Linked DNA regions of Caenorhabditis elegans. The protein of the gene in region 1 purifies or fractionates together with the protein of each later gene. This does not show direct contact. Each region holds a gene or a part of one and is shown in the gene's direction. Other genes may lie near its edges.

Region 1 (6,868 bases):
TTTGTTTCGAACTTTCCGCCCGTAAATCGACATTTAAAAAAATTACTGTAGTTTTCGCTACAAGACATTTTGCGCGTAAGATATGTTGCTCAATACGCATTCTCAGAATTTAGTGTGCCCGTAATAGAATGTTTAATCCTGTTTAAACGTTTCATAATTTGGGGAGCATCTTCAACAATTTGGCTTCCCCGATTCGGCTGCGCCCACTCATTGCTCCTCGCAAAAAAAAAACGAATCAAGAATTAAAATCCTGGGAACCCCATTTGATTGATGATCAGAGATATAAGAAGCTTATAAATAATTTAATGCGAGTGCAAGAATTCAGACGATTTTTGAATCTTAATGTGTCGCCCTTCTCTTTTCAGATACGTCATGACGTGATTTATCTGAAACGGAATCTTGAGTCTGAAATGGAAAACACTGAGATTTTTAAGGACGGTTTTAAAAAATAAACTTCGAAATTGCTGTGGAAAGAATTATTTTTCAACAAATTGGCACATTTTTTCCAAATTCAGAACTGCTCCGAATTCATTGCTCGCTTGGATTGAACACCAAGGATGCCCTTTTTCTGTTATTTGAATTTTTTGGCAAATACTGTTTTACTACTTGATCTTGTACTACAATTGGCTCTTTTACTACGTTTTATCTTTTACTAATGATTTTTTACTACGACTTGAAAATTAATTTTTATAGTATTATAATTCTAGAAGTAAACAAATGTAGAATATTCTAGTGAACTTCACATGTTTTCTTTGTACTGTTGGGCTACTGGCACTGTGGTATATCATGTTTTTTTTTTCTAGAAATTTATTCACTATGAAATCAGCAGAACTTATTGTGTACATTTGGCTCTTAAAAATTGATAGAGATAGAGTACACAAAGTTGACATTGACACTGACCAATTTTTAAAAATAGACAAAAACTACAAAACCAGAACCAAAACCAAGTTAATCTGGGGGAAATACAAAACCAAACTACGAAGACACTTTTTCACAAAAAGAATATAAAGTTCTATTAAAAATTAGCAAAACGAATCTTATATTGGCACCTCAACTTTTACAGATGATAATTAATTTCCTTGTTTGTAACTTATTCGTATGTTTTTTATTAATCTTCCTATGTATTATGTGTTTATTTTTATGTCTTTAAATGATTTTTATTATATCTCACTACAATCATATCCGACCTGTGCTTTGATGCGGCCACATCAGGAACTTTGAGGATTTTCATCCTTTCGGAACCCATTACAGTCTCAACTCCCCGCACTGAAGGAAGGCCCATAGCACACGGTGGCGGCGGACAAAACGCGAGCTAGCGAGTGCCACCGCAATATTACAAGAGTACCACTCTCGCTGCCTTGTGTGAGAGACGCAGACATAGGTATTAAAGGCGCATAGATTTATCTGCGTGGCTGGTCTCACTGCGCACCCTCCCCCTCCGCCGCCAGTTTGAATTCTAACCGTTCTCACATGTTTGCTTTGACTTGTTTTTGTTGATTTTTCTTCGAAATTTGTTATTTTTTCACGGTTTTTTGGAATAAAACCGTTTTTGTAAATCAATATAACAAAACTTGTTTTATTTAATTCAATTCATTTCAGAAAATGTCGTCGCGTAAACGAGGAATAACTCCATCGCGAGACCAAGTCCGCCGGAAGAAGTTATCGATTGAAGAAACCGACAGTATCGAAGTCGTTTGTCGTCTTTGTCCATATACTGGCTCGACTCCAAGTCTTATTGCAATTGATGAGGGATCTATTCAAACTGTTCTTCCACCAGCACAGTTCAGACGCGAAAACGCTCCACAAGTTGAGAAAGTGTTTAGATTTGGACGAGTTTTTTCGGAAAATGATGGACAAGCTACTGTTTTTGAGCGGACATCTGTTGATTTAATTTTAAACCTATTGAAAGGTCAGAATTCGTTGTTATTCACTTATGGAGTTACTGGATCTGGAAAAACGTATACAATGACGGGAAAACCCACTGAAACCGGCACAGGACTACTGCCGCGTACATTGGATGTAATTTTCAATAGTATTAATAATCGGTAAGCTTTTGAAACGAAAAAAGCAAATAATATTATTTTCTTCCAGAGTTGAGAAATGCATCTTCTATCCATCAGCACTGAATACATTCGAGATCCGTGCCACATTGGATGCTCACTTGAAACGCCATCAAATGGCTGCAGACCGTCTTTCCACATCACGCGAAATCACTGATCGTTACTGTGAAGCTATAAAGCTGTCAGGCTACAACGACGATATGGTTTGCTCGGTTTTCGTAACCTACGTCGAAATCTACAACAATTATTGCTACGATTTGTTGGAAGACGCCAGAAATGGGTAAGAAAAATCGAGCAATAATTGATAGTGACCCTCCGCTAGTTCCAGAGTATTGACGAAGCGTGAAATTCGTCATGATCGTCAGCAACAGATGTACGTCGACGGAGCCAAAGATGTTGAAGTCTCGTCAAGCGAGGAAGCTCTCGAAGTGTTCTGCCTTGGAGAAGAACGTCGTCGTGTATCGTCCACTCTTCTCAACAAAGATTCATCCCGTTCTCATTCCGTATTCACTATCAAATTGGTTATGGCTCCGAGAGCCTACGAGACGAAAAGCGTGTATCCAACAATGGACTCATCGCAAATTATCGTTTCGCAGTTATGTTTGGTAGATTTGGCTGGATCTGAGAGGTTTGTTTTTTTGTTGTAAACTGAAATATATATGTTTAATGAGAAAAATTTTAGAGCAAAGCGCACACAGAATGTTGGTGAACGTCTTGCGGAAGCCAACTCGATCAATCAGTCCCTCATGACTCTTCGTCAGTGTATTGAAGTACTCCGTCGTAACCAAAAGAGTTCCTCACAAAACCTTGAGCAAGTTCCATATCGCCAGTCAAAATTGACTCATTTATTCAAAAACTATCTGGAAGGAAATGGAAAAATCAGAATGGTTATTTGTGTGAATCCAAAGCCTGATGATTACGATGAAAACATGGTTCGTTCAGAATTCAAAGAATTTACTAATTATTTAAATTCGTAACTTTCAGAGTGCTCTAGCTTTCGCTGAAGAATCACAAACAATTGAAGTGAAAAAGCAAGTTGAACGAATGCCATCCGAGCGGATTCCTCATTCATTCTTCACCCAATGGAATTCTGAGCTAGATGGATCTGTTCGTATGGAGGATGATGGAAGTAGAGAAATTCCGTGCCCACCGACATTCTGTTTGACAGTAAGAATTTCACAAATTGAATGGTTTTGAACAAATTGTTTCCAGGATTGCAATGACAAAGATACGGTAGATTCCATGTATAAGTATGCTCGGAAACTTTCATCTCTTCAAAATTCATCAGAAGAGGGACCATCTTCAACTCTTCTTACTATGATTCGCCAATACATGATGGAAGCAGACTACCAGCGAGTAGAGATTGCACGTCTCAAAGATTCTCTAAACGACAAGGATGAAGAAATCAAGAAGCTTCGAGGTTTCTGCTCAAGATATAAGCGTGAGAACGCTTCGATGAAGGAACGAATTGCCTCGTGTGAGCAAGGAGAGCAAGAGAATGCTCTGGTTATGGAAAAGCTTATGGAACAAAAAATGGAGGACAGGAAGATTATTCAGTCACAGAAGAAGGCGATGAGAAATGTTCGTGGAATTATTGATAATCCATCCCCGTCTGTTGCTTCTCTTCGATCACGATTTGATCAAGAGAATGTGGCTCATCCAACAGCTCCAATCCAAACTCCACCACCGCCATATCAAACTCCAGGACGTGCTCCAGTCTTCAAAAAACGGTTAGAAGCCACTACATCGACCACTGTAATGTCTGGATCTTCAAGTGGAGGAAGTGGTCAACAGGGTTACGTTAATCCAAAATATCAAAGAAGATCCAAGTCTGCATCTCGTCTATTGGATCATCAGCCACTTCATCGAGTTCCAACAGGAACGGTTCTTCAGTCTCGTACACCGGCTAACGCCATACGGACTACTAAACCTGAGGTAGGAAAAAACATTAATAAATTCCGCAATTTTATTGTAATTCAATTGTTTTCCAGATGCATCAGTTGAACAAATCCGGAGAATACCGTCTCACGCATCAAGAAGTTGACGATGAAGGAAACATTAGCACGAATATAGTGAAGGTAAATTCCTTGGTTTCCACCCAAAAACACGCCTGTACCGTCCCGTTGTCGTTTTCCCGTGTCCTTATCACCCATCTTTCCTGATACAAAACTGTCCGTCTTTTCTTCTCACAAAGCACACACGTAACGCATTCTAACAGGCACCATCTAAACCACCAGAACTTCAACTGGAAGACTCGCAAAGCAGTTCGTATTCACCGTGTACGGATGTAAAATCGATAACGATATACTCTAATCATGATGTTGAAGAAGAAGATGAATGAGAATTATTTGAAATGAATGTTTGCTGGGGGAATGAGAAGATGAAGCTGCTCTTTTTACATTTTTATGTGTTTGTTGTATGTTTTTGATTGTTTATTGGCTATTTTAGATACTGTTTTAGTAGTGCTTGAGAAAACTGCCTGAATTTGCTTGATATATACTTTTTGAGTTAAAATTTCATGCTTAAAATTAACTAATTTAGTGCTAGTTCTATATGCATTTAATTTCAGTTTTTCATGTAATGTTTTAGGTCATATAACTTTAAAAATACATTTATTTTTGTGTTCCACTTTCTCATCTGTTGCTCATCTCGAATTTTTCAGGGAAATGTAATTCCAACAGTTTCCGGTGGCACTGCCGTGTTCTTCAACGATATCGAGAGACTCACTCACGAATCTCCGAGCACACGAAAGTAATTATAAGTGCCGTCTTTGATCTTTTTACCTCCATCCTGCTGCATTTTCATGTCAAATTTGTACCATACTCTTCAAATTTTCTCCAAATATTTATTAATTTATTATGTTTCTCATTCATAATCCCATTTTCCGAACTCGAAGAGAACTCTTGTTTTTTTGTAGACCTCACCGCATTTTTATGATCTTTCACTTCTTCGTCTTTTTCTCCTTCTACGCACAATTTTTTGATATCGATCTGAAGAACTCTGTTCATTTTTATTCCCGACGATGATTTGTGTACTAGTAAATGCTTTTGTATTTTAATTTTAATTAAACTCAAAGAATATAAAATATGAAAATAAGTTAGCTTTTATTTTCGTTCAAAAAAATGAATCTCAATAAATAAGACCCGATTTAGGTCGAGGGTTACATAGAAAATGGTGGGAAAAAGGCACGGTTTTATACAAATAATTATGATTTAATACGCGTTTTTTGATTTTTTGGTTGGTATTTCAAAAAATAATTCAATCGAAAAATAAAAAGGGATTATCATGAAAAAGAGGTCAGAAATATTGATTATCAGAGAGATTTAATTTTTTAAAATTAAAGTTAAATTGGGAAAAGCCAGGCGAGAGACAAGATCAGAAACCACGTGGTGAGAGAAATATGAGAAAAAAAAAAGAAAATCGGTGAAAATTAATTGCCTAGAGAGTATTTTTAAGATGAGTGAATACATTTACTGCATTCATCATGAACATATTATCCGGTGTTGCTGTATTTGTCAAGAAATTGGAAACATTTGCGATGATCTGAAATATACATTCGTTGAAACAGTGGAAATTTTGAAATATTTTCCGCAAGTCTGGCATGAAATTTGCAAGCGTGCCGCACCGTTTTTTTCAAAAATTGCTATTAACTTTCTTCTCTCCAGTTTAATTTCTTTGCAAAAGTTTGCAAGACAATAATTTGTCGGACTATTTTAAAGATTTTCCAGAAGTTTGGTCGGTTAAAAAAATTCTGGGAACGTTTTAAATATATTATTGAGACGCAGAAAACATCCATTTTTGAAATCGACGTGTAAACGCGCTCAACCGCTAATCCCCCCAAACGATGGGTCTCGTTGGCTATTTTCCCGTAAACCCAGAATAACGAACTTTTTAAAACAAATGAAAACTTTAAAATTGACTAAAAATACGGTTTTATCGCCAAATATGTACCTAACGAGACCAATAGTTCGGGGGCGGAGCTTTTACAACTGGCCATGGAGCGCGTTTTCTTCTCGATTTCAAAAAAATCTTCTGATGTCAAACCTTTTTCTATGTACATACGTTCTCATAATATACATATTTTAAAGTTTTTTGTTTCAAAAAAGTCGCAAGATTTTTTAACCAAACAAAATCGATTTTTTTAAAATCAGGTAATTCAAAAAACTTTGCAAAAACCAACCTGTTTAGTCATTTGCTTATAATTCTCAAACTCCTCATCCTTCTTCACCATTTGCTGCTCCAAATCATGAACTCTCTGCCAACTATTCGTACAGTCTTTACACGAAGACGTTGAAGATTCCGAAGCAGTTGGTTGAGGTGAAGCTCCAGAAGAACTCGACGGGCTCACTGAGCTTTGTTCGAGACATGATGACTCGAGAAGCTGAAGTGGTGATGTCTTTTGAGGACTTGAAGCACATGATGTATCAGTGGCTAGATCAGAGTCCGATCCAAGAGGAGTTGGATCATTTTGATGGCTGATTGTTGTAGGTTGATGAGTATGATGGATATGGGTGGAATCAATCGATAAATTTGGATTTTGATTCGCAATATGGTGCATGTACATGTGAAGTGTAAAGGATGGTTGACTATTGAATTGAGATTTGCAGATCATACATGTTAAGCTGAGTGGAATTGTTGGAGCTGAAAAATGGGAAGTTTCTTTATTTTTATAAAAGGTTTCCTGTACCTGGAATCTCGAACCCAGCATCCTTATGCATCACACTTCCATTCAAAATATTACTTTCATTATTATTATTATTATTCAGAATATTCTCGTGCTGCTTAACCAAAAGTGTGTTCAATGCGTT
Region 2 (7,720 bases), on another chromosome or scaffold:
CCTTTTCACTTGATCATAGTGATATGGATTTTGTGCCTTGATGTCTTCCTCTTTACAGAAAAATAATGGTTCAGCGGTAAGAAGTTCGGCAAAAATGCATCCGATAGCCCATACGTCAATAGCCTGAGATTATGCATTTTTTCCTTATTAAATAGATTTTTCAACGTACCTTTGTATAATGCTTTGCTCCGAGAAGCAATTCAGGTGCTCTGTACCAGAATGTGACAACTACTGGATCTAATTCAGCCATCGGTTTCAGAGGATTTGCATAGATTCTTGAAAATCCCAAATCAGCAATTTTTACCCTAGAATTATTATTTCATATTATCGCATAAATTTCAAATTCAGTCAAACCTTCCTCTCATGTCAGGTGGTCCATCACCCATTAATAGAATATTTGCTGGTTTGAGATCTCGATGTAGTACCCAGTTTGAATGTAAATAATGCATTCCTGAATATTTTAAAATACAGTTGAGTGAAATTGGATTTTAGAATTTCAAACCTGATAAAATTTGAAACAATATATTTTTGACCATATTCCGTGGCACCATAATTGGGACTTTCTTGCTTTTAGCTGTTCGATGATGTTTGATAACGTGCCAGAGATCGTGTTCAGCATAATCCAATAAAAGCCAGACTTTTTTTTCGTTGGTAAGAAATACACGTTGAAGACAGATTAAATTCGGATGCCTGAAACATTTTTTTTTTTTGAATATCTACTTCAGTTTTTTTTTCGAATTTTAGATTATAAAAAGGGGAAAATCTCGAATTCAATCTTCATTTTAAATTAATATTATTTAATCGGTGAAATTACCTTAATTCTCTGAATAGAGCAATTTCTCTGCATGCAGACATTGAAAATCCTTGTCCCTCAATCATTTTTAATGCGTATTCTTTGTTAGGAAATTGTCCATTTTGCTTTTTCGGAACTGCTTTATAAACTAATCCATATGTTCCTCTGCCGATTTCTTTTGAATTTTCAAAGTAGAAAAGGTCTTCTACTCTCTCTCGACGCTGTGCCAATTGTTTTTTGAAGTTTTCATCAATCATTAATCTGCAATAGGGATTTTCTGATTTATTTATAGTGCAAATTTCCAACTTACGTCATTTTTCAGTTACTACAGCGAATACTACTCAGTCTTTATGCCAGGAAAATCGATGTCCAGAAAAACGAAAATTAAAATTGAAGTGTACGGTAAGGAAGTCCGCAAACACTGCACCCACGTACTAAACACCAAATATCACGACATCTTCGTCGGTCTTCGTTTTCTAGCACTTTTTCTTGTGGCAAATTCTCGCCGAACGTCACTTCTTCTTCCCAAAGAACACAGCGTTAAGACTGAAAAATCAATAAATTAACTAATCAATAAATGCCACATGTCTAACAGACAAATAACTAGGAGGAATGCACATTCAGAGAGGATACTCTGGTTTGGCAGCGAATAACGCTTTCAATCGATCCTGTAACCGCGTTTGCCTCAAATCAGTTTAGAATGAACAAACCGAATATTGTATTTTGGATATTATTTTGTCTGAATTTAAAATAAACTGGTCGTCGGAAATAAATATTTCTTAACTTTTCCAGAATTTTCTAACATAAATCAAAAAATTCTTATGTTCTCACGAAGTCTCGCTCTCTCGTTGTTGCAGATTTTAGCATTTGTCGAGTTTTCAAAAGATAACAACTCAAATTTACAGGCCGATCAGTTCAAATGCAAATGGGTGATCATCAAATGATGGGAAACCAGAGGTATGAGTTGAATTAAAAAATAGCTTGTTCAGTTTTAGTTATTTGGATCAAGAAATCCAATAACAACACTCGAAAGATATTACAGAACTTACGTTCAAAAAGTGATGCCTGCACAAGCTGGTGGTGCAGTATCACAAAATGCCACGTATGTGCAAACGGCAGGAATTCGAACGGTTCATCACGACGGAAACGGACAGCAGAGGGTGAGATTTTGAAGAATATAATCAAATTTTGTTCGAGACAAGACATATGCTTGAATTTATGAATTAAAGTTTATTTCAGATAGTTCAACTACCCCCGGGAGTACGTCAGATTCAGCAAAATGGTGTCGGTCCTGCCTATGTTCGCCAAGTTCCTGGTGGTCAACCAATGCAAGTAAACTTTGGACATCCAGTAAGTCTTTATTATCAGTTTCTCAATCAACATAACAAATTCTAAGAATTGAAACAAAATTTCAAATTCACGAAACTATTTTAATTTTTCAAAAGAAATTGCAGGGAACGATAGCGGGTCGAAATGTTGCAGTTGGTGTTCAAATGCGACCTGTGCAAGGACATAACGTTCAACAAGGTTATCAGAGTAAGTTTTTAATTTTATTTAGAAAATTGATAGTCAATATTTAATTGATGTTATTCAAAACAAAATATTTTTTTTTTTAAATCGGTTTTATTTCAATTTATTTACGGTCTCCGGATGCCGTGTGTTTTATCAATAGAATACAAGTACTACGTATATCTAGAATCGCGTATATGTTTCTGCAATAATTAATTGTTTTATTGGAATAATATTCTAGACACAAATTAACTCTACATTTACATTTCGAATAACTCGATTTCTGATTTTTGAACGATTGAAGTTTCACATATTTTCCAAAAGGAAAAATTAAATATTGATTAAATTTTCACTGTTTTTGCAAACAAAAAAAAATCGAAAACAATCAAAATAATTCTGGAAAATTTCAAACTCGTGTGTTGGGTCTCACATTACGTGTTGTATAAGACATTCTTGTTTGAAAAACTGAAAAGAGTTTTAAATTTAATTCCAGGACAGCAAGTAGCAAATCAAATTCAACAACAAAATCGAGCTGTATTTATGGCACAAAATCAGCAAGGACAACAACAGATAAGCTATGCGCAAGCACAACATCGACAACAACAACAGGTATGTTTCATGATTATCATTTACTATCATTTACTATATATAAAGCGCGTGTCCTTCTGTCCCTATGTAGTTTGATCTCTGATCAGAGCAACGAAATTTTGGGAAACCTTATGCTAAATGCGCAACAGACATCGATCGAGGTCCGCGATAGACACCGTATATCTAATGTGTTTTCTCAAAAAAGTCGGGGGCCGCGCCGTAGGTGCGGTCCACGGCTGGTTCAGATATATTCACCAAAATTAATCAGAGGATATTACAGAATCAACAACAACACCACCAGCAACCACAACATTTTAATCATCCTTCTCAACAAAATCAAATGATTATGCAACATCGTCAACCACAAATGCACCATAATCAGCAACATCAAATGGTTCAACCACAAATGACACGTCATCAGATGGCCCAACACCATGCTCAGCAGCCACATCCGCAGATTTATGTGCCGCGTGACATGAATTTGGCAGTGCCACTGAGAGAACCCTCACCTGAGCCGGTAACAGATGAATGTACATTTTCATGTTTCATATCTACATTTTTCAGATTCCTGTCAAAATTGAGGTTCCAGATGTTCCTCCAGAAGGTACATCGGCTGCCAATGAGGAACCAATGCCAGATGATGGTGATATCGATATTCAGGTACTTTCTAACAGCAATCAATCATCAAAACTTGAAAATATTCCAGATTCGAAATGTTGTTTGTAATTATACACTCCCTTTGCACATTGATCTTCGAAAATTGGCAATGAACACTCATAACGTGACATATGAAAGAGAAAAAGGAGTAATGATGAAACAAAAAAGATCGCCTGGTTGTTATATCAAAGTATATAGTTCTGGAAAAGTATATATTGTTGGTTGCCGGAGTGAGGCGGATTGTAAACGAGCTGCACGTTCAATTGCCAGACATGTTCAGCGAGTTATGGGAAAAACGAAAGAACGAGTTTCGATTAGAAATTATCGAGCAAGTTTTGAAAAGTTTCAATTTATCTATTAAAAAAATTTATCTATTAAAAAAAAAATATTTAAAAAAAGTTCGCCTTCAAGAAGTACAGTAGCTTCCGCCATTTCCGATTTGTTTTTTTTTCTTTTAAAGATGTTTCATTTTTGTTAAAGTTATTACTTGTAAATTTAAATTAAATTGAAGAAAAGTGTAAAAATGTCAGTCGTGCAAACTAGTGTACTAAAATTATTTGACCGTGTATCGTAGTTTCACCAGATTTTTACATGCCTTTTTAAAGGCGCACGGATTTATTCAGAAAGGTCTCGGCACGCAAAATGTTTATGGTAATCTTTCTTTTTTTTTTGAAGTTTGAACATTTGGAGAGGCACCACGGTTTCAAGATCTGGTGGGGTTCCGGATCTACGTTTTGGTGCCAGATCTGGAAAACGTAGAACCGGAATCCACCAGATCTTGAAACCGTGGTGCCCCCATTTGGAAACAGATTTTTTAACAGAATTTTTTTTTAAAGCTGAAAACCGTGCAGTTTCATTGAAAAACGCAAACATTGAAGAAAAAGACTACAATAAACTTTTTGCGCGTCGAGACCCATCTGAAGAAAGTCGTGAGCCTTTAAAGAGCCATTTCAAAATTTGAAAAAAAAAATTACGATACCACGTAGAGTCAGGTTGTCCCATCACGGTGTGATCTACAATAAGTGCGGGTATTTTTGCTCAGAAAAGTGTGACGTCAGCACATTCTTAACCGTGCGACACCAGTTGGAAACTCTACGTCACGTTTCATTTTTTGTAGATCAGACTGTGATGGGACATTCTGACACCACGCGCGATACCGTTTTTGTGTGTTTGTCAATACCATAAAATTTTGCAACTTTAAAATATTTATCTAATTATTAAGTTTATGTGGAATTTAGGTGAACAACGTTCTGGCCACGTGCCGTCTTCCATTCGGAATCAAAATCGAAGAAGTCGCAGCAAAATATCCATCAGAATCCACATATGAGCCTGAACTTTCCGTTGGTCTTGTTTGGAGATCTGTGACACCAAAAGCTACTCTTCGAATTCATACGACTGGCTCAATTACAGTCACTGGAGCTCAATCGGAAGCCGATGTTCTCGAAGTACTCTCAAAGATCTATCCAATTGTTCTAGAATTCCGATGTCTCGAACGAGCCAAAGGAAATGTCGCTGCTCAGAAGAAGAGGAAACGAAAGGCACCTGTTAACAGAGGGTAAAAATTTGTAAAATTCTGGCTTCAATGTAAAAATAAAATAATTTTTTAGACCACCAATCAAACGCGAACGCTTTGATGACAGCAATTATAGAAATTCTGGAGTTATCAATAACCAGGTATGCAAATAAAAAGTGTTTCGGTGGTTTGAAAATAATACAAATTTAATTTTAAAATAACACATTTTTCTTTCAGGTCTATTTCTCTGATGAAGATGAAGATCTGTATGATGAGCTCGATTTAGAAGAATAGTTGTACCTAATTGATGCAGCCTACCCATTCATTGTAATTTTTAAAAAATCTCAATTTGCAATCATTATCTGATTACCTTTCTACATCATCTCGTCATAATTTCTCTAGTTTTAGCTTTCTATCTTCCAGTATATCTTGTTCTTTCAATTGTTCTGTGTGCTTCAAAATTCATGCTTTATCCGCTTTTTTCCTGTTCTTTTCTTTCTCTGTTTGCCGTTACCATCATCAACATCATAAGTCATCATCGAATCAACACAATCTCCTATCCATTTTTTTGTAAAATTAACACAATGATCAGAAAAACAATTCTCGCTTCCTTCTAGCTCTTTCTCTCTCCACATCCCACTATGTGCTCTCTACTTCATGTCTTCATCATGTTCCCCTCAAGCCCAGCAAATCTTAATTTTTCCTTATTTTCCATTATCTATTTTTCCTCATGAATCCCAGTTTTAAAAACAAGTAGCAGATTTTTTTTTGTTCTGAAACAATTCGCAAAAATTCCACAAAAAGTCCTTAAAAACAAACGAGTTCGTATTATAAAACTGTAACCTACCTTTTCCCAAAGTTGTTGTATTTCATTTTAATTATTTTAGAATGTGATTTTTCTACAATTCCCTTTTCATGATTCATCCTTTTTCTAGATTTAGTTATTGTCTCCCTTTACCATTTTTCTCGTTTTTGTCCATTAAATATGTTCATGATTAAATTTCAATGTCCGTATCTTTACAGAAGGTTTATGAATTTTTCAAAGTTACGAATTGTCAAAGAAACCAGAAAATCACAAAAAAGATTCAATTGAAAAAATAAAGAATTATTTACTGTCCAGTGTCCTTACGAGCTGTTGCACGGAACGCTCGTTCTTTTTCAAACTGGCGATTATCAGCTCGGTTTAAGAAGTCCATTTTGTTCAGATAACCGCCTTTCCCTCGGTTATGAGATTCCAAATCTTCCTGAAAAACAAACAATTTATTCAAAAACCTTAAACTTAAAGAAACATACTTTTAAATTATTTTGCGTCGTAAAATCTTTCCAATCTCGATCAGATTTCTCCAAAACAGAAATTTTAGAACGCTTCGACAGTGATTTTGCAGCATCAAGCAAGCCGACTCTTTTCTTTCCGGGTACAATGCTACTTTCAGACGATGTTCCAGCTGTTTCCGTTCTGAAAAAAATTATTAGAAAAATAAGAAAAAGTTGTTTTTAAATTTGTATCAAATAAAAACTCATGTCAACTCACTTTTTCGGATAAACCTTCTGATTTGTAGACTCGTTGGATGCAGATCTGTAAAATACATTTTTAAAAGTTATTTCTACTTGTTTCAAACATACGCTGCTGATTTTGGATACACCCTTTCTTCAGTTTTTGGAATATTCTTGCTTGATGTATCGTTGACAACTGGTTTCGGTGCTAGCCCAGTTAATTCTGCAAATATCGCATCCACATCAACACTTCCTTCAGTACTGTTTGCCTTTTCTGATGTATGGTCGTCACTTTGTTTTTCATTTTTCAGATGTTCAACTTCTTCGTCAATTCCATCTTCGCATTCTTCTTGATCATCGATCTGTTGAGGAGAATGAGCAATAAAAGGGCGATATCTAGGAATGCTTACTTCATCCTTTGGATCAAAATCGGTATCCTTTGTTGGATCGTAATCTTCATCGGACGATGAGTTGTAGTCTTCTTCGTTATTTTTAAGCTCCGAGGTCATTTTTCTGAAACAATTTATATTTTAAATAGTTTCACAATTTCAGTGAGAATTCAAAAGAATAAAATATGAATTAATATATTTATAAAATATGAATTAATTTATATTATAATATTATCTCAAAAAAAGTAGCGCGAGATAATTTTTCTTATTGAAGTACGCAATTGTGCGTGGTATTCAGTGTAAAATTCGACGGAGCGCACATGCTTTATGATGACTTAGCCGCCATTTTTGCATTTCATTGTCGAAATTCACTTCCTTTCATTTTTTCAAAGCACTCCCTTCAAAAACTTCATTTATATTGTTTCAGAACCAAAATGAATGCTCACGACGAAGTCCAGCGCACACTGTAAGTCATTAAACCTATATTCGTTTGAATTAACTCAATTTTTCAGGAATCCTACTTGTACCGGAACATCGGTTATCGCTCTCCAGTATAAAACTGGGGTTGTTGTCCTTACTGATCGAGTTGTTTCCTATGGAAAAATGGCTCGTTACAAGGTTTGAATTTCCGTTCAGCTGAAAGTGGATTTTCATAATATTTGTTTCCAGAATGTTTCTCGTCAATACAAGGTCAATGATAATGTTCTCATTGCCTTCGGAGGAGATCACGCTGACTTCCACTGGCTTCAAAATGTGATCGAGCGTCAGGTTCTTCTC
Region 3 (5,693 bases), on another chromosome or scaffold:
ACAATCAGAAATTGGTACAAAACTTCATGATACAGATATAATGGAGGCGATATTAAGCGAAACAACGAACAAAACAAAAACAGAAGATTAACAACTTCAAACAGATGATTCTAAACGATAGACTTGATTACGGAGTTGTTTCACTCGAATGACAATCAGAAACGTCTCATCCATTTCTTCAACTGGAACGAAGTTCATGTCAACTACGTCGAGAATATTCTCAATTGGAGGTGCAAACTCGGTTTGAACAGCAGTATCCAGAGCAAGACGCAGATTATCTTGTTGACCAGGACCCATGTGGCATCCAGTAACTTTTCCGTCTTTCCCAATACCAAAGAGAACCACGGCGAGACGCTTTGAATTCAATGCATCACGGATTATCTGTTGGATGTCATGTGTCTCCATCAAGTTAATTTCATCCGCACTTCGAATATGAACATCCGTGAATTTGGTTCTGAATTCAATTTTGGCTCCAGCCTTGACAGTTGTTGTCAACTTTCCCAGTGTGATCAATTCTTTCAATGTCTTGTCTTTCTCGTATGCCATGGATACACATGAATCGATCCAGCGTTGATCGTGACGAGCAAATTCGAAACGAGGTGGACGAGACATGATTCCGTTGCGAACGTTGAAGCTGGTTCCATACACATTTCTGGAAGGATGAAGAGTTGAAATAGAAAATATTCAGAAAAGCTTCAAGACCTACTTTTTGGAAGCAAAATCTGGAATATCTTCTACTGATACGGCATGCTCTTCTTCGGTGATGTACTGCATATACTTCTTAAGTGAAGACATGTCGAAAGCATCCTTATTTTTGCATTTCGCATCAGAAGCTTGAGTTTCTGCAGAGGAAGAACTAACAGCTCCAACACTAATACCACTGTCCACATCCTCTAACTCGCTGCGATCGATGATATCAGGTTCAACTGAAGAGTCCAAGTCTTCGAAGAGTCCTTCAATTCGAGAATTCATCTGATCTCCTGCCAATGCTTTTCCAAGAAGAGCATCAAGAAGTGATTCCTCCACTTCGGCTGGAAAATATTTTGTTACAGAAAAAGAGCAAAAAACTATAAAACTGCTCACCTTGACCATCGTGAAGCTCGACAATTACTTCATTTTCGGAAGGGATGTCCACTTCTTCAGAGGATAATTCGTCATCTTCAAGTTCATCCACATTTTCAAGCTCATCATCGTCTTCAAACTCATCGTCGTTTTCAAATTCATCCTCGTTTTCATTTTCTTCGATTTCACTCAAAAAGCCGCTAAAATCTTCTTCATTTTCGGAATCCTAAAATTCTTGAATTATACTTTATTCTTGTTAATCCAGAAACTCACCGAATAAGAATCATTCTCTTCAAAAAGCGCAGCCATTGTTCCAAAAATAACTGAGACAGAATATTCGATTTCGAAGGATTGTCGAGGGAGCAGGATTTGGGACAAATTCCAGATAATTGTCTCAAAGTTGTGCTACCGTACTTTAAAGGTACATTGCTATTTTACATTAACAGGTTCCCGAATGGAATGCCATTTTTAATTTCTTGGGATCTCTATTGGTGATTATACAACTTTCGCAAATTCATTTTATTTAGAAAAGTTACTCTCGGCTTATATTTGACATTTACTTCAAATAAGAATATTATCTCTTTTTCCTCTTTCCCTTCCATTGAGACCCGAAGAACTCGGGGGATGTCCAACTGGGGGGATTACCAACTCGGGGGATTGGCCCCGCCCACAGAACCGTGGCTTGCAATACGCCCATTTCTGCAACTGCCGCACGGTTTTAAAATTATTTTTTCTTGTTAATTCTCGCTCTATTGAGAAAAATACAGTTTTAAAACCGTGCGGCAGTTGCAGAAATGGGCGTAATGCAAGCCACGGTTCTGTGGGCGGGGCCAATCCCCCGAGTTGGTAATCCCCCCAGTTGGACATCCCCCGAGTTCTTCGGGTCTCCTTCCATTGCTGTTTGTCTGCATTTGTGCGTAAAATGAGATGGCTGCACACATTTTCGAATTTTATTTTCTTTCCCTAAATTTCTATTTTTCATTCTATTTTCACGCTGACGCTTTCGTAAAATAATGGATATGGAAGTCGATGAGGCAATATCTGGTACTTCTTCTTCAAGACTTGCACCAATCGAAGAAGTGAGCTAATTTTTGAAAAACCTAGTATTTTAAATCGAATTTTTCAGGTAAAACCAACTCCAAAGCAAATTAAACGCATTGCGGCTCACAGTCACGTCAAGGGACTCGGAATTGACACAGAAACACAAGAAGCTCACTATGAGGTTTCTTTTTCAATTGTCCAATTTCAATAACTACTTATGAAATAAAGCCTATGCTAAATAAAATATTATTTCTACAGGCTGCTGGATTCGTTGGCCAAGCACCCGCCAGAACAGCTGCATCAATTGTAGTTGATATGATTCGATTGAAGTGTATGGCCGGACGAGCTGTATTGATTGCTGGACCACCCGCCACTGGAAAAACTGCAATCGCGCTTGCAATGTCACAGGAGTTGGGTGACGGCGTTCCATTTGTGCCACTTGTTGCAAGCGAGGTCTTTTCCAATGAAGTAAAGAAAACGGAAGTGCTCATGAGAAGTTTCAGAAGAGCTATTGGTCTGCGTGTTAAGGAAACCAAAGATGTGTACGAGGGAGAAGTTACAGAGTTGAGCCCCGTCGAAGCTTCAGATAATTCCGGAATGGGAAAAACCATCTCTCATCTTGTCCTTTCTTTGAAAACAGCAAAAGGAAGCAAGCAACTGAAATTGGATCCAAGCATCTATGACTCGATTTTGAAGCAACGAGTAGAAGTTGGTGATGTCATCTATATTGAAGCGAACTCAGGAATCGTTAAACGAGTTGGACGGTGTGATGTATATGCATCTGAGTTTGACCTCGAGGCTGACGAGTTTGTGCCAATGCCGAAAGGAGATGTTAGAAAGTCTAAAGATATTGTTCAAAACGTGTCTTTGCATGATCTGGATATCGCAAATGCCCGTCCACAAGGACGTCAAGGAGATGTTAGTAACATTGTTTCACAGCTGATGACTCCAAAGAAAACTGAAGTTACTGGTGAGTGATTGATAAACATTAAAACTCGAACCTTTCAATTTTTATTCTGTCTTTTAGATCGTCTTCGTTCTGAAATCAACAAAGTAGTCAACGAATACATTGAAAGTGGAGTGGCTGAACTAATGCCTGGTGTTCTTTTCATCGACGAGGTTCATATGCTTGACGTAGAATGTTTTACCTATCTCTATCGCGCGCTCGAGTCCCCAATGGCACCCGTCGTGGTTTTTGCAACTAACCGTGGAACCACAACAGTTCGTGGACTCGGCGATAAGGCACCACATGGAATTCCTCCAGAAATGCTCGATCGGCTGATGATTATTCCAACGATGAAGTATAACGAAGAAGACATCCGGAAGATTCTCGTTCATCGTACCGAAGCTGAAAATGTTCAATTCGAAGAAAAAGCATTTGATCTTCTAAGTAAAGTTGGAGCTGAAAAATCATTGAGATATGCGTTACAATTGATTGCTCCAGCTCGTCTTTGTGCTCAAACGTGTGGAAGAGAGGTCATTGAAGTAAGTTGCAGAATGTTGTAGTTCATGTATTAAATAAATCGCTATTCAGGTAGAGGACGTGGACCGTTGTACCAAATTGTTCATGGATCGTGGGGAGTCGTTGAAAAAGGCCGAAGAAGAGATGCGACAACCTAAAAATAAGAAGTGATATCCATTCATATCCGCACAACGACTCGGTTTTCCAATTTTGATTTTTCGCCAATTCATTTCTTGTTTTTTAAAATTATTTTTCTTCTTCTACAACTTATCTCATTCCTCTCGATCTTTCCTCAGTTGTTTCCCCACATGTTGAGGATCTTGTTATTTCGTTCCGATAGATCCCCCATTTTGCCCAATTTGTTGTTCGATTCCTATTTTTATACTGTTCCTAAAAAGAAAAAAAACGGTTTCAAGAATTGTTCGTAATGTTCACCAAAGCGGAAGGAGTGCATAGTGCACAGAATCGACAAAGAGGGACCCCGGCAATTCGTAATACGTCTTCTCCACGTCCCTGACGCCGCGGCATTTCCCTTCTTTTTCTCCCGTTTCTCTATCGATTCTGACAGAGCACATAGTCCTCAGCAGTCGTCGTTTCGCTTATTCCTCGCTCTATTCGCCTCCTCTTTGAGAAAACGAAGAAGAAGGGGGAAAGAAAACGAGGACGAAAGGAGAAGACAAACGTCTTCTGGGAGAGCTTTTGCTTGGAGCCCCCCGAGCACAAGAAGTAGACTCGTATGCTCATTTTTGCAAACTTTCTGTGTTTATGTCTCGTTCTCTTTTTTGTTATAGACTTATTAGCAATTTTTATAGACACATTCAGAATATGGAAGTATGGAGTTTTTCAGTTTTCCCATCATTAATTATTAGTAAGGGTGCAAAACAGGGGTGTGCGGCAAATTTGCCGAATTTGCCGAATTTGCCGTTTGCCGAGCTCGGCAAATTTGCCGAATTTGCCGAGCACGGCAAATTTCAAAAAAGTAGATTTGCCGAATTTGCCGAGCTCGGCAAATTTTGAGATTTGCCGCACACCCCTGGTGCAAAAGTACTCGAACCAATAACTTTTCATATGCTAAAAGAGCTTCTAAATTCCACCTGTTTTTTGAATATTCCTTCAAAAACTGCAACATTGACTTACGTTACACATGCTTATATCTTTCAGGCTAAAGATTAAGTAGAAGATTAGAACATATCAGCTTTTGATTATATGACACACTTTTTAGACCAAAAAAGTTACATTCTGTTAGAGGACATACCGCTTGAGTTTGACTATTTACGCAAAGTGAACATTTGTATGGCGAAATGAAGTTAAGAAAGCATTGTTCTTGAAAAGTGTAACTTAGGTCACTGTTTCAAAAAATTACCGACCTAGGTTCCAATAACATGCTACATCAACAGATATCAATACATTTGATTCTTTTAAAATGCCAACAGCTAATTCAAATTTCGAAACAGAACATTGATATTATATATTAGATCGTATTTCATTTTAACGAATCCTTACCTACTGAAAAATGCGTATTCGATGATTTTCCATTATAGCTTTTGTAAATTTACTACTGATATTTTTGATCAAGTGGGATACAACTGCTAAAGTCAACCAAGGGTCTCACGCTTACCGTACTTCTCTATTACACGAAAAAGTTATAGATAATTTTTTCAAAAGATTTTTCAAGTCTGCAAATTCTGATCTTTATTTTGTTCAATTTGTGAATATTCTTTCCCGTCAAAATCAGATTGAGAAAAAAAGGAAAAATTCAGTTAATTCGCAATTTCTCCTTCCCTTTCAGGCCTCTCGCTTTTCCTCCCGTCGTATCTATAATTGAATGTGCTAGTACTACCAATCGGTGTAGTTTTCGAAGAATGGATTCTACTTTTATGGATTTAGAAAACAATATTATTTGCACCATTTTAATAAATAGTCATGCAATTGGGGGCTTACAATTAGAGAATAGACTCGTGAAATATTAAAAAATCACTTATCTCATACATAAGCACTCAAAAGAAAAAGTAGAAGAAGAGTCTTGACATTCAAAATCGTCTCCACTTTCATTTTATTTTCCATATTTTCTTTCCAAACCCTTCCATTCTTTTTTAGGCATGACTCTTCGTATTTTATATGCATAGAA
Region 4 (8,652 bases), 5.0 Mb from region 1:
ATTTTCACAAAATCAGTTCGAACCAATGGAAGACATTGTGATTGATCGATGGTGAAACGATGAAAATCAGTTGGGAAAAGACTGGAAATTTGTTGAAATTATGAAAATAAATATAAAATCGTCTTACCCGATCCATTCAATCGTTGGAACAAAGGCTCCTCGGCCTTCGGCAAATTCTTTCGTAGGTCCATATTTGTAAGTCAAGTAGATTTCAATACCTTAATTGAATTTAAGTATTACTATTTTTAATATAGTTATTTTTTAAATCCTTTATTAAAAATTCACCATGCGGATCAGCGTCAAACAGTCCGTATATTGGAAATTTTCTTTTTTCACTCAACATTTTCAGAACATTTCGAGTTGCAATATCCGGATATCCTTTCGAAGTTGCTAGAATCCCACGTGGAAACATTGCTTGAAAATTTTCATCCATTAATTTTTGAAAAGTTGTGTCTTTCTCAACAACAAGTATGAAATCGGCTTCTGATATTATATTCGAAAATAACAGTGCATCTGAAACACCAGCGTTGATCATTTTTAAATGTTTTTTATTACCTTACCTGTGATCAAAACTTCTTGAACTCTCGCATCAATTACACCAACATTCTCAACTAAAAAAGTAATTGCTCCACGAATTATCCCGCGTCCACAAGAGAGCTGAAATTTGGAAATTATTTCTTGTTTATTAATGTCACACTGACAATGTTTAAATTAGCCCGACTTTCATTCAAAAGCTCACAAATTGATTTTATTGAACTGTCTAAATATTTCTGGTTTCCATAAACTGCTTTATGTTCATAATACAATTCTCTTTTCGTTGATCTTTTGTCATTTTCGAGCAAATCATAAACTTGGTGAAGACAGTGCAAATCTCTATCCAATTTTCCTTTCCTCTTTGCTGTATAACGAAGGCAAAAATGTGATTTACTAGTCGATCTGAAAAAAAAAACAAAATTACTCAAACATTTTCAACAGGAACTTATTACATTCTCAAAGTCAACGATTTCTCTTTGTTATCCATTTGCCTTTTAATATCTGCAAGAGCGAATTCAATTTTTCTCATAGCTTGTTCCTTCGGTGGTATTACTTCATCGTCAAGAAAACTGTCATCAGAATCATCAGAATCCGAATAAATAGTGGATTGTTGAGATTCTACCTGAAAATTGCAAAATTAGATTTGAATCAGCAATATTAAGCTTACAGATCCGGGCTCATGATCGATATTTGGGTTGAAAGAATATTCATACATGCTTTAAACTAATTAGTAGAACAAAAATACAGATAAAATGGAATAAAACTTTGATAAAACTTGGACGCAAGCTAATAAGGCTCCAGCTGCAAGATACAAAAAGTCAATAATCGAAAGGACCATACGTGAAAATAAAGCACGGGTCCCGCAGCGAATCGGAGTAGTACTGTAATTTTCGTCAGATTTTTAATACTCGGCGCCGACGAGTCTCAATGTTCGATCTTCTTTTCTATATTCTTAAATTGACATTTTTCTTCAAAAAATATTTTAAAATGCATTTCTTAAATATAACTCGGTTTTTCTCAATCCCTGCCGAAAAACCACAGCTTAAATGCAATTTTGAAGCGAATGACTGCACCATTCATTTCGTCGCAGTCGAAGAAGATTTTTATAGAATATAAAATTTATGTATAGTATTCATTTTTTTCTTAAACTAGCATTAAATGTTGTTGCGCTGAAATATTTTTGCTATATTAAATTTCCTTCAAATACTTTATTCAAATAGTCATAATGAAGCTCTGATATGGTCTATATCTACCGTAGTCTTCTTGTATTTTCCACTATTCCTTCTTTTCTTGTCTCTTTTCCCATTCATTTGTCCTCTCCGCCGCAATGGCCCGTTTCCAATGCAGGCAGACATGCAGAGTGTCTGCGTCTCTCCATTTCCAATAGTGTTTCTCCTCACTTTGCCTCTCTGGCCAATCGACGCTCGGCGCGTCCACTGCATACATTCAAACCTTCTTCTTCCCCAGCTGCTTAGTCTAACACACAATTTAGACCATTTTTCATGGATTTTCTCGGTTTTCAGACGAATTTCACGATATCAAGCGATACTAGTTATCAGTATACACTTATACGTCGTTGGAAAACGAAAAAACCTCTCAGGATTCATGAAAAGTCGATTCGTACACGTCACTACTTATCGATTTTTTCACAATCTTTAGAAATCGTCAATCTTTTAGTTTTTTCTTAGCTTTTCTTATCTCACTAGCTCACAAAGGGCCCCCGAAGAGTTCTCCGTGTTTTATATGCGCTAGAAATTTTGAATGCGCGCCGAAAGTTGTGTCCTGCAATACACTACATCTCTCTTTCACTTGCACGCTATTTCTCGGTTCCATCAGTCCTACTCTTTTTGCACTAGGATGGATGGAAAGTCTATATATTGTCCTCGGTTTTATTATTCACGCAGGCTTCTTCTGAAATTCGCTTATATACTATTACCGCAATACTTTTTGTTTATCTTGAATGTTCAATTGAATCTAAAATTCTGAATTAATAATTGTTTCAGACTATCAATTTGAAAGAAGATAGTGTATCAAATTGCTGGAATTTTGAAGAATGAGCGGAAGGCCGGCGTTTGAGCAGTTTACTGCTCAACCACCGCAACCAGCCGGTGAAGTTGTTGCTCAGCAAGCTGGTGATGGAGCTCAAGGCCAAGAGCTGACAATTTCCAAACTGGAAAATGCGATAACTTCAATGGAGGAACAAGGTCTTCAGAATGACCATCGACACGCCAAAGCAGTTCTTTTGAAGCAAAAACTCCAATCTGGTCTCCCAGACGCCGTTCCAGGACAGGAAAATGGCGGGAATCAACAAATTACCCCAGCACAACTCAATCAACTGAGGGCTCAAGTGTCAGCCTATCGTCTTTTGGCTCGAAATGAACAAGTACCGGCCAACTTGATTGCGGATGCTGTCATGCTCCGACCAAAAGTTACAACTTTGTTGCCTGAACCTTATGAATATCCAGGAGAGGCAGAGAATGGAGAAAAGTTGCCGTATGATTTGATGAAGGTAGGTAAAATGGATCGAATGAAACTATACAGTCTACTTTTTTACAGATTTTCAATCTCCATCAAATACGCTGTAATCGTCCAACAACAATTTCTGTTCCATCAGGAATTGATCCTGTTGGCATGCTCAAGCAAAGAGAAAATATGATTCAAAACAGAATCGGGCTACGCATGAAGCTACTCAATAACTTACCCGCCGACATTCCAGATCACATGAAATTGAAAGCAGAAATCGAATTGCGTGCTTTACGTCTTGTCAATCTCCAAACTCAGGTAATTTCTGGATTCGAAGAGTATTTTAACCAATAAGCTGTTTTTAGGTGCGCAGTGAAGTGATGGCTTGTCTCAAAAGAGACACAACTCTCGAAACTGCACTCAATCCATATGCGTATCGACGCACAAAGCGGCAATCTTTACGCGAAGCTCGTGTTACCGAAAAGCTTGAGAAGCAACAAAAGATGGAGCAAGAAAGAAAGAGAAGGCAGAAGCATACTGATTTGATGCAAGCTATCATTCAGCATGGAAAGGAATTCAAGGAGTATCATAGGTGAGATTGTATTTAGAAAGTTCTCCTACTAATTAAATTATTTTCAGAAACAATCTTCTGAAAATGGCAAAGTCTCGCAAGGCAGTCATGACATATCATCAAAACAATGAACGTGAACGCAAGAAGGACGAGATTCGAAATGAAAAACTTCGTATGCAAAAACTGATGCAAGAAGATGAAGAAGGATATCGTGCTCTTCTTGATGAGAAGAAAGATCAACGTCTTGTGTATCTTCTTCAACAAACCGATGAGTACGTCGACTCTCTGTGCTCACTTGTTCGTCAACATCAAAATACCGAAAAGAAAAAGAAGAAGGAAGATAAGAAAATTGAAAAAGGAAATCAAATGGATGAGGAAGCCAGGGTTCACGTTCGGGAGAGAAGCACTGGAAAAGCGCTTACTGGAGATCAAGCTCCAAAGACTGAAGAAATTGAGTTTTGGCTTGAAACTCATCCAGAATATGAGATAGTTCCACGTGATCAGCTTAGTGATGACGAAGAAGAGGAAGAGGAAGAGGCTCCAGTGGAACCAGAAGAAGAGAAGGATGATCAGTACGCTGGAATGGATGAAGAGACAAAAGCTAAGATGATCCTCGAGAAGGCACGTAACGAAGAGGATGAATATGATCAGAAAACGAAAAAGCAAATGGCTGATTACTATGCAACTGCTCACAAAATCAAAGAAAAGGTTGTCAAGCAACACACAACGATGGGTGGTGGTGATCCGAATCTTCTGCTGAAACCGTATCAGATTAAGGGATTGGAATGGATGGTCTCCTTATACAACAACAATCTGAACGGTATCCTCGCCGACGAAATGGGTCTAGGAAAAACTATTCAGGTAGGAATTTGGGAAATGAGGAAATATTAATCAATTTTTAATTTTCAGACAATCTCGTTGGTGACGTATTTGATGGAAGTCAAACAAAACAATGGACCATATCTTGTCATCGTACCGCTCTCCACGTTGTCCAATTGGCAGAACGAATTTGCTAAATGGGCTCCATCTGTAACCACTATCATCTATAAAGGAACTAAAGATGCTCGTCGTCGTGTTGAAGGACAAATCAGAAAAGGAGCGTTCAACGTTTTGATGACAACATATGAATATGTGATCAAAGAGAAAGCACTGCTTGGTAAAATCCGTTGGAAGTATATGATAATCGACGAAGGACATCGTTTGAAGAATCACAATTGTAAATTGACATTGATGTTGAACGGATTCTTCCATGCTCAGCATCGTTTACTTCTTACTGGTACTCCACTTCAGAACAAACTTCCTGAGCTATGGGCTCTGCTGAACTTCTTACTTCCATCGATCTTCTCATCTTGTGGAACTTTCGAACAATGGTTCAATGCTCCATTTGCGACTACAGGAGAGAAAGTAGAACTGAATCAAGAAGAGACGATGCTCATCATCAGAAGACTGCACAAGGTTCTTCGTCCATTCTTGCTGAGACGTCTCAAAAAGGAAGTAGAATCACAGCTTCCTGACAAGACCGAGTATGTCATCAAGTGTGACCAGTCTGCTTTGCAAAAGGTTATTTATCGTCATATGCAGAAAGGATTGCTTCTCGACGCTAAAATGTCATCTGGAGCACGTTCGTTGATGAACACTGTCGTGCATCTTCGCAAGCTTTGCAATCACCCGTTCCTTTTCCCTAATATTGAAGATTCCTGCCGTGCATACTGGAAGGTCAACGAAGTCAATGGAACCGATCTAATGCGTGTTGCTGGAAAGTTGGAACTTCTCGATCGTATTCTACCGAAACTAAAGGCAACAGGTCATCGAATTCTGATGTTCTTCCAGATGACGTCTATGATGAACATTTTCGAAGACTTTTTGAATTTCCGAAGATACACGTACCTCCGTTTAGACGGTTCAACTAAACCAGACGAGCGTGGAGATCTGCTGACACAGTTTAATGCTCCTAACAGTGATTTGTTCCTTTTCATGCTTTCTACAAGAGCTGGAGGTCTTGGACTCAATTTGCAAACTGCTGATACTGTTATTATCTTTGATTCGGATTGGAATCCTCATCAGGATATGCAGGCTCAAGATCGTGCACATCGTATCGGACAAAAGAAAGAAGTTCGAGTTCTTCGTCTCATCACAGCTAACTCTGTTGAAGAGAAAATTCTTGCCGCTGCTCGCTACAAGTTGAATGTCGACGAGAAAGTTATTCAAGCAGGAAAGTTCGATCAACGTTCAACTGGAGCTGAAAGAAAGCAAATGCTCGAACAAATTATTCAAGCAGACGGAGAAGAGGAAGAAGAAGAGGAAGTTCCAGATGATGAAACTGTGAATCAGATGGTTGCTCGCTCAGAGGAAGAATTTAATATCTTCCAATCGATGGATATTGATCGTCGTCGTGAAGAAGCTAATCAACTTCACCGTAAACCCCGTCTTCTAGAAGAACATGAAATTCCAGACGATATTCTCAAATTGTCATTCGATTATGAGGAAATGGAACGAGCCAGAGAGGAAGGTCGTGAAGTTGTTGATCAAACTCCTAATCAGAGAAGACGCAGAAGAGAGGTAAGGAATATATAAGAGAATTTACAATATTAATTCATTTTCAGGTCGACTACTCTTCCGATCTTTTGTCCGATGAACAGTTCATGAAACAAGTTGAGGAAGTTGAGGATGAAAATAATCAAGCTGTGGCTGAACGTAAAAAGCAAAGAAAACGTAAAATGGCTGGATTGGACGAGAATGATGATTCTATGGATGACGTTGTTCTACAACACAAGAAGAAGAAGACGGATCCAGAATTGGCAGAAAAAATCAATGAAATGCTTGATGTTATTCTAGAATATAAAAATGAGGATGGAGAACTCATCGCGGATGTATTCCAGACACTTCCAACTCGTAAAGAACTGCCGGACTATTATCAAGTGATTTCCAAACCAATGGATTTCGATCGAATCAACAAAAAGATCGAAACAGGACGTTATACGGTTATGGAAGAATTGAATGATGATATGAATTTGCTTGTGAACAATGCTCAAACATACAACGAAGAAGGCAGTGAGATTTATGTTAGCTCTGAAACAATCGGAAAATTGTGGAAGGAACAATACGATAAGGTATGATTGATTTTTGAAATTTCGAAGTTTACATTACTTTTTCAGTTTATGAATCCACCGAAGCCAGTAGAAGAACCAGTCAAGAAGAAAGAACCTTCAACCCCATCAACTTCATCTTCTCGTCCCTCAACCAGTGGCACTCCAAGTGTGTCAGATCTTCAGCGGACACAACAGGCAACTGCTCAGCAAATGTTAATGCTTATGACACATATGCAATCACTTCCACCCGCACAGGCTCAGCAGTTTCAACAGGCATTGATGACACAGACCGGTGGAAATCAAGCCCTAATGCTTCAATATATGCAGTCGGCTATGCTAGCTCAACGTGCACAAGCTTCAACTAAAGTAACCCCCAAAAAGGACGAGAAAAAAGAAACTTCGTCTTCTGTAAAGACCGAGGAAGCTAAGAAAGATGATGAACCATCAACATCGTCTGCAAGTGCACCACCACCGAAAAAGAAGAAGGAATCGGAAGATAGTGAAGACCCAATGGAAGAAGATGAAGAAGAGGAGATCATTGGACAAAAGAAGGTTACTTGAACTTTTTTAATGTCTTTAAGTCTAATATTTAATTTCCAGGAACCAGCATCAAGCCGTCGAAAGTCTCGTCCAACTCGCCGCTTCTCGAACGAGGATGAGGAAGAAGAAGACGACGAGTGATCAAAACTAGTCTGCTCCAAATATTTTCATGTCCCCATAAACATTTATTCTCTGTTTGTGTATTCTTCATGTTCTATGATTTCTGATTTTTTGAGCTGTCACCATAAATATGTCCCACCTCGTTCCCCCATTCTTATCTCTCCTGCTTCACAGTTATCTCTCATCGCTTTTTTACTGTTTATCTCTACTTCTCTTTTCTGTCGCAAGCTACACGTTTGCAGGAAAAAATCCCTGAAACAAAAGCATTAAGCATTGTATTTAACCCATATTCCACTTTTAATCCATACTATTCGTCAACTATTTTAAAGAAAAATTTAATTTTATAAACATTTCGAGAGAAATATGCTTTTGTTATCAAGAATTATTTTCGAATTTCGTTGCGATTTCTTTTATTAAATACTTTCCGTCTTAGTTCGAGATTTTGAATGTTTAATCAAACACACTTATGATTTAGGTAAACGGGAACAAATGTCGGCACTCAGAAGCACTAAGGTGAGTTTAAGAGCTTGAAAAGGTTGAATACTTGCTCCAAAATTGAAAGTGTTATCTGAAAACCCTACGTTCTATCTTCTCAGGGTCTCGTTGCTCTCGTCACTGGCGGAGCGTCTGGACTGGGAAAGGGTGCTGCCGAAGTTTTGGCAAAGGCTGGTGCACAGGTCGCTATTCTTGATCTTCCACAGTCAAAAGGAGCCGATGTTGCGAAGGAGATCGGAGGAATCTTTACACCAGCTTCGGTAACAATGATTTCATGCTACATTTGTAAAGAGAAACTTCAAGTAAAATATTACCCAGACGCCAATTTTGCGATCTCTGTCTCGACACGCCCTTTTTTGTAAAATAGAAACGAGTGTGTGCCTTTAAAGAGTACTGTTATTTCAAAATTTCGTTAGTACTGAATTTTCATGAAATTCTCATCGTTTTTTAAATTAAGAATTAAAAATTGAAAGCACATCAATTTTATTCAACAAATCATGATAAAAAACTACGAAAAGTCGATAAAAATTCCACAGCATTTTCAATTTTAAGAGTACTGTAAAATTACAGTACTTTTTAAAGGCGCACATACATTAGTATTTTACAAAGTTTTACGCTTCAAATATTACGATAACACAAAATTCTGAGAATGCGTATTTTGCAACATATTTGACGCGCAAAATATCTTGTAGCGAAAACTACAGTAATTGTTTAAATGACTACTGTAGCTCTTGTGCCGATTTACGGGATCGATTTTCGAAATGAATTTATTCTCGAATAGTGACAGTGATATTAGATTTTCCTTCATTTTTTCTTAAATTAAATAATTAAATTGATTTT

The links.
Region 2: the proteins of zen-4 (region 1) and tlf-1 purify together in Caenorhabditis elegans (affinity purification with mass spectrometry, with the first as the bait; one large-scale study listed by BioGRID). This does not show direct contact.
Region 3: the proteins of zen-4 (region 1) and ruvb-1 purify together in Caenorhabditis elegans (affinity purification with mass spectrometry, with the first as the bait; one large-scale study listed by BioGRID). This does not show direct contact.
Region 4: the proteins of zen-4 (region 1) and swsn-4 purify together in Caenorhabditis elegans (affinity purification with mass spectrometry, with the first as the bait; one large-scale study listed by BioGRID). This does not show direct contact.

Annotation. Positions count from the first base shown.
Region 1 is NC_003282.8:6,116,622-6,123,489, forward strand, and holds zen-4 (Kinesin-like protein), read left to right. Parts: upstream 1-1,593; 5' UTR 1,594-1,602; coding exon 1,603-2,045; intron 2,046-2,091; coding exon 2,092-2,340; intron 2,341-2,382; coding exon 2,383-2,688; intron 2,689-2,742; coding exon 2,743-2,992; intron 2,993-3,044; coding exon 3,045-3,227; intron 3,228-3,272; coding exon 3,273-3,995; intron 3,996-4,051; coding exon 4,052-4,138; coding exon of another isoform or gene 4,139-4,222; exon of another isoform or gene 4,223-4,278; coding exon 4,279-4,401; 3' UTR 4,402-4,476; exon of another isoform or gene 4,477-4,722; coding exon of another isoform or gene 4,723-4,815; 3' UTR 4,816-5,156; downstream 5,157-6,868. Other genes in the region: M03D4.4 (C2H2-type domain-containing protein), read right to left, coding at 5,499-5,603, 6,241-6,701, 6,748-6,868.
Region 2 is NC_003279.8:8,695,950-8,703,669, reverse strand, and holds tlf-1 (TATA box-binding protein-like 1), read left to right. Parts: upstream 1-1,696; 5' UTR 1,697-1,712; coding exon 1,713-1,750; intron 1,751-1,826; coding exon 1,827-1,953; intron 1,954-2,032; coding exon 2,033-2,143; intron 2,144-2,247; coding exon 2,248-2,329; intron 2,330-2,795; coding exon 2,796-2,911; intron 2,912-3,170; coding exon 3,171-3,407; intron 3,408-3,454; coding exon 3,455-3,550; intron 3,551-3,596; coding exon 3,597-3,875; intron 3,876-4,785; coding exon 4,786-5,102; intron 5,103-5,154; coding exon 5,155-5,221; intron 5,222-5,297; coding exon 5,298-5,354; 3' UTR 5,355-6,008; downstream 6,009-7,720. Other genes in the region: cdk-8 (Cyclin-dependent kinase 8), read right to left, coding at 2-123, 170-305, 355-451, 503-690, 815-1,054, 1,104-1,108; F39H11.1 (Craniofacial development protein 1), read right to left, coding at 6,170-6,304, 6,354-6,516, 6,592-6,636, 6,684-6,916, 6,965-7,063; pbs-7 (Proteasome subunit beta), read left to right, coding at 7,378-7,409, 7,456-7,561, 7,613-7,720. UniProt on the Caenorhabditis elegans protein: May be a general transcription factor. Plays an essential role for RNA polymerase II/ama-1 transcription in early embryos whereby it activates a subset of RNA polymerase II promoters and facilitates the reestablishment of transcription after mitosis.
Region 3 is NC_003283.11:9,977,079-9,982,771, reverse strand, and holds ruvb-1 (RuvB-like 1), read left to right. Parts: upstream 1-1,969; 5' UTR 1,970-2,075; coding exon 2,076-2,141; intron 2,142-2,188; coding exon 2,189-2,284; intron 2,285-2,361; coding exon 2,362-3,073; intron 3,074-3,130; coding exon 3,131-3,588; intron 3,589-3,637; coding exon 3,638-3,736; 3' UTR 3,737-3,981; downstream 3,982-5,693. Other genes in the region: tofu-1 (Schlafen-like protein 1), read right to left, coding at 97-652, 707-1,031, 1,084-1,288, 1,336-1,371. UniProt on the Caenorhabditis elegans protein: Possesses single-stranded DNA-stimulated ATPase and ATP dependent DNA helicase (3' to 5') activity suggesting a role in nuclear processes such as recombination and transcription.
Region 4 is NC_003282.8:11,123,487-11,132,138, forward strand, and holds swsn-4 (SWI/SNF chromatin remodeling complex core catalytic subunit swsn-4), read left to right. Parts: upstream 1-2,537; 5' UTR 2,538-2,587; coding exon 2,588-3,043; intron 3,044-3,090; coding exon 3,091-3,315; intron 3,316-3,362; coding exon 3,363-3,589; intron 3,590-3,636; coding exon 3,637-4,429; intron 4,430-4,477; coding exon 4,478-6,127; intron 6,128-6,171; coding exon 6,172-6,678; intron 6,679-6,723; coding exon 6,724-7,209; intron 7,210-7,257; coding exon 7,258-7,338; 3' UTR 7,339-7,676; downstream 7,677-8,652. Other genes in the region: Meiotic recombination protein spo-11, read right to left, coding at 1-81, 128-218, 286-513, 561-657, 702-936, 987-1,156, 1,202-1,249; ard-1 (3-hydroxyacyl-CoA dehydrogenase type-2), read left to right, coding at 7,807-7,830, 7,914-8,072.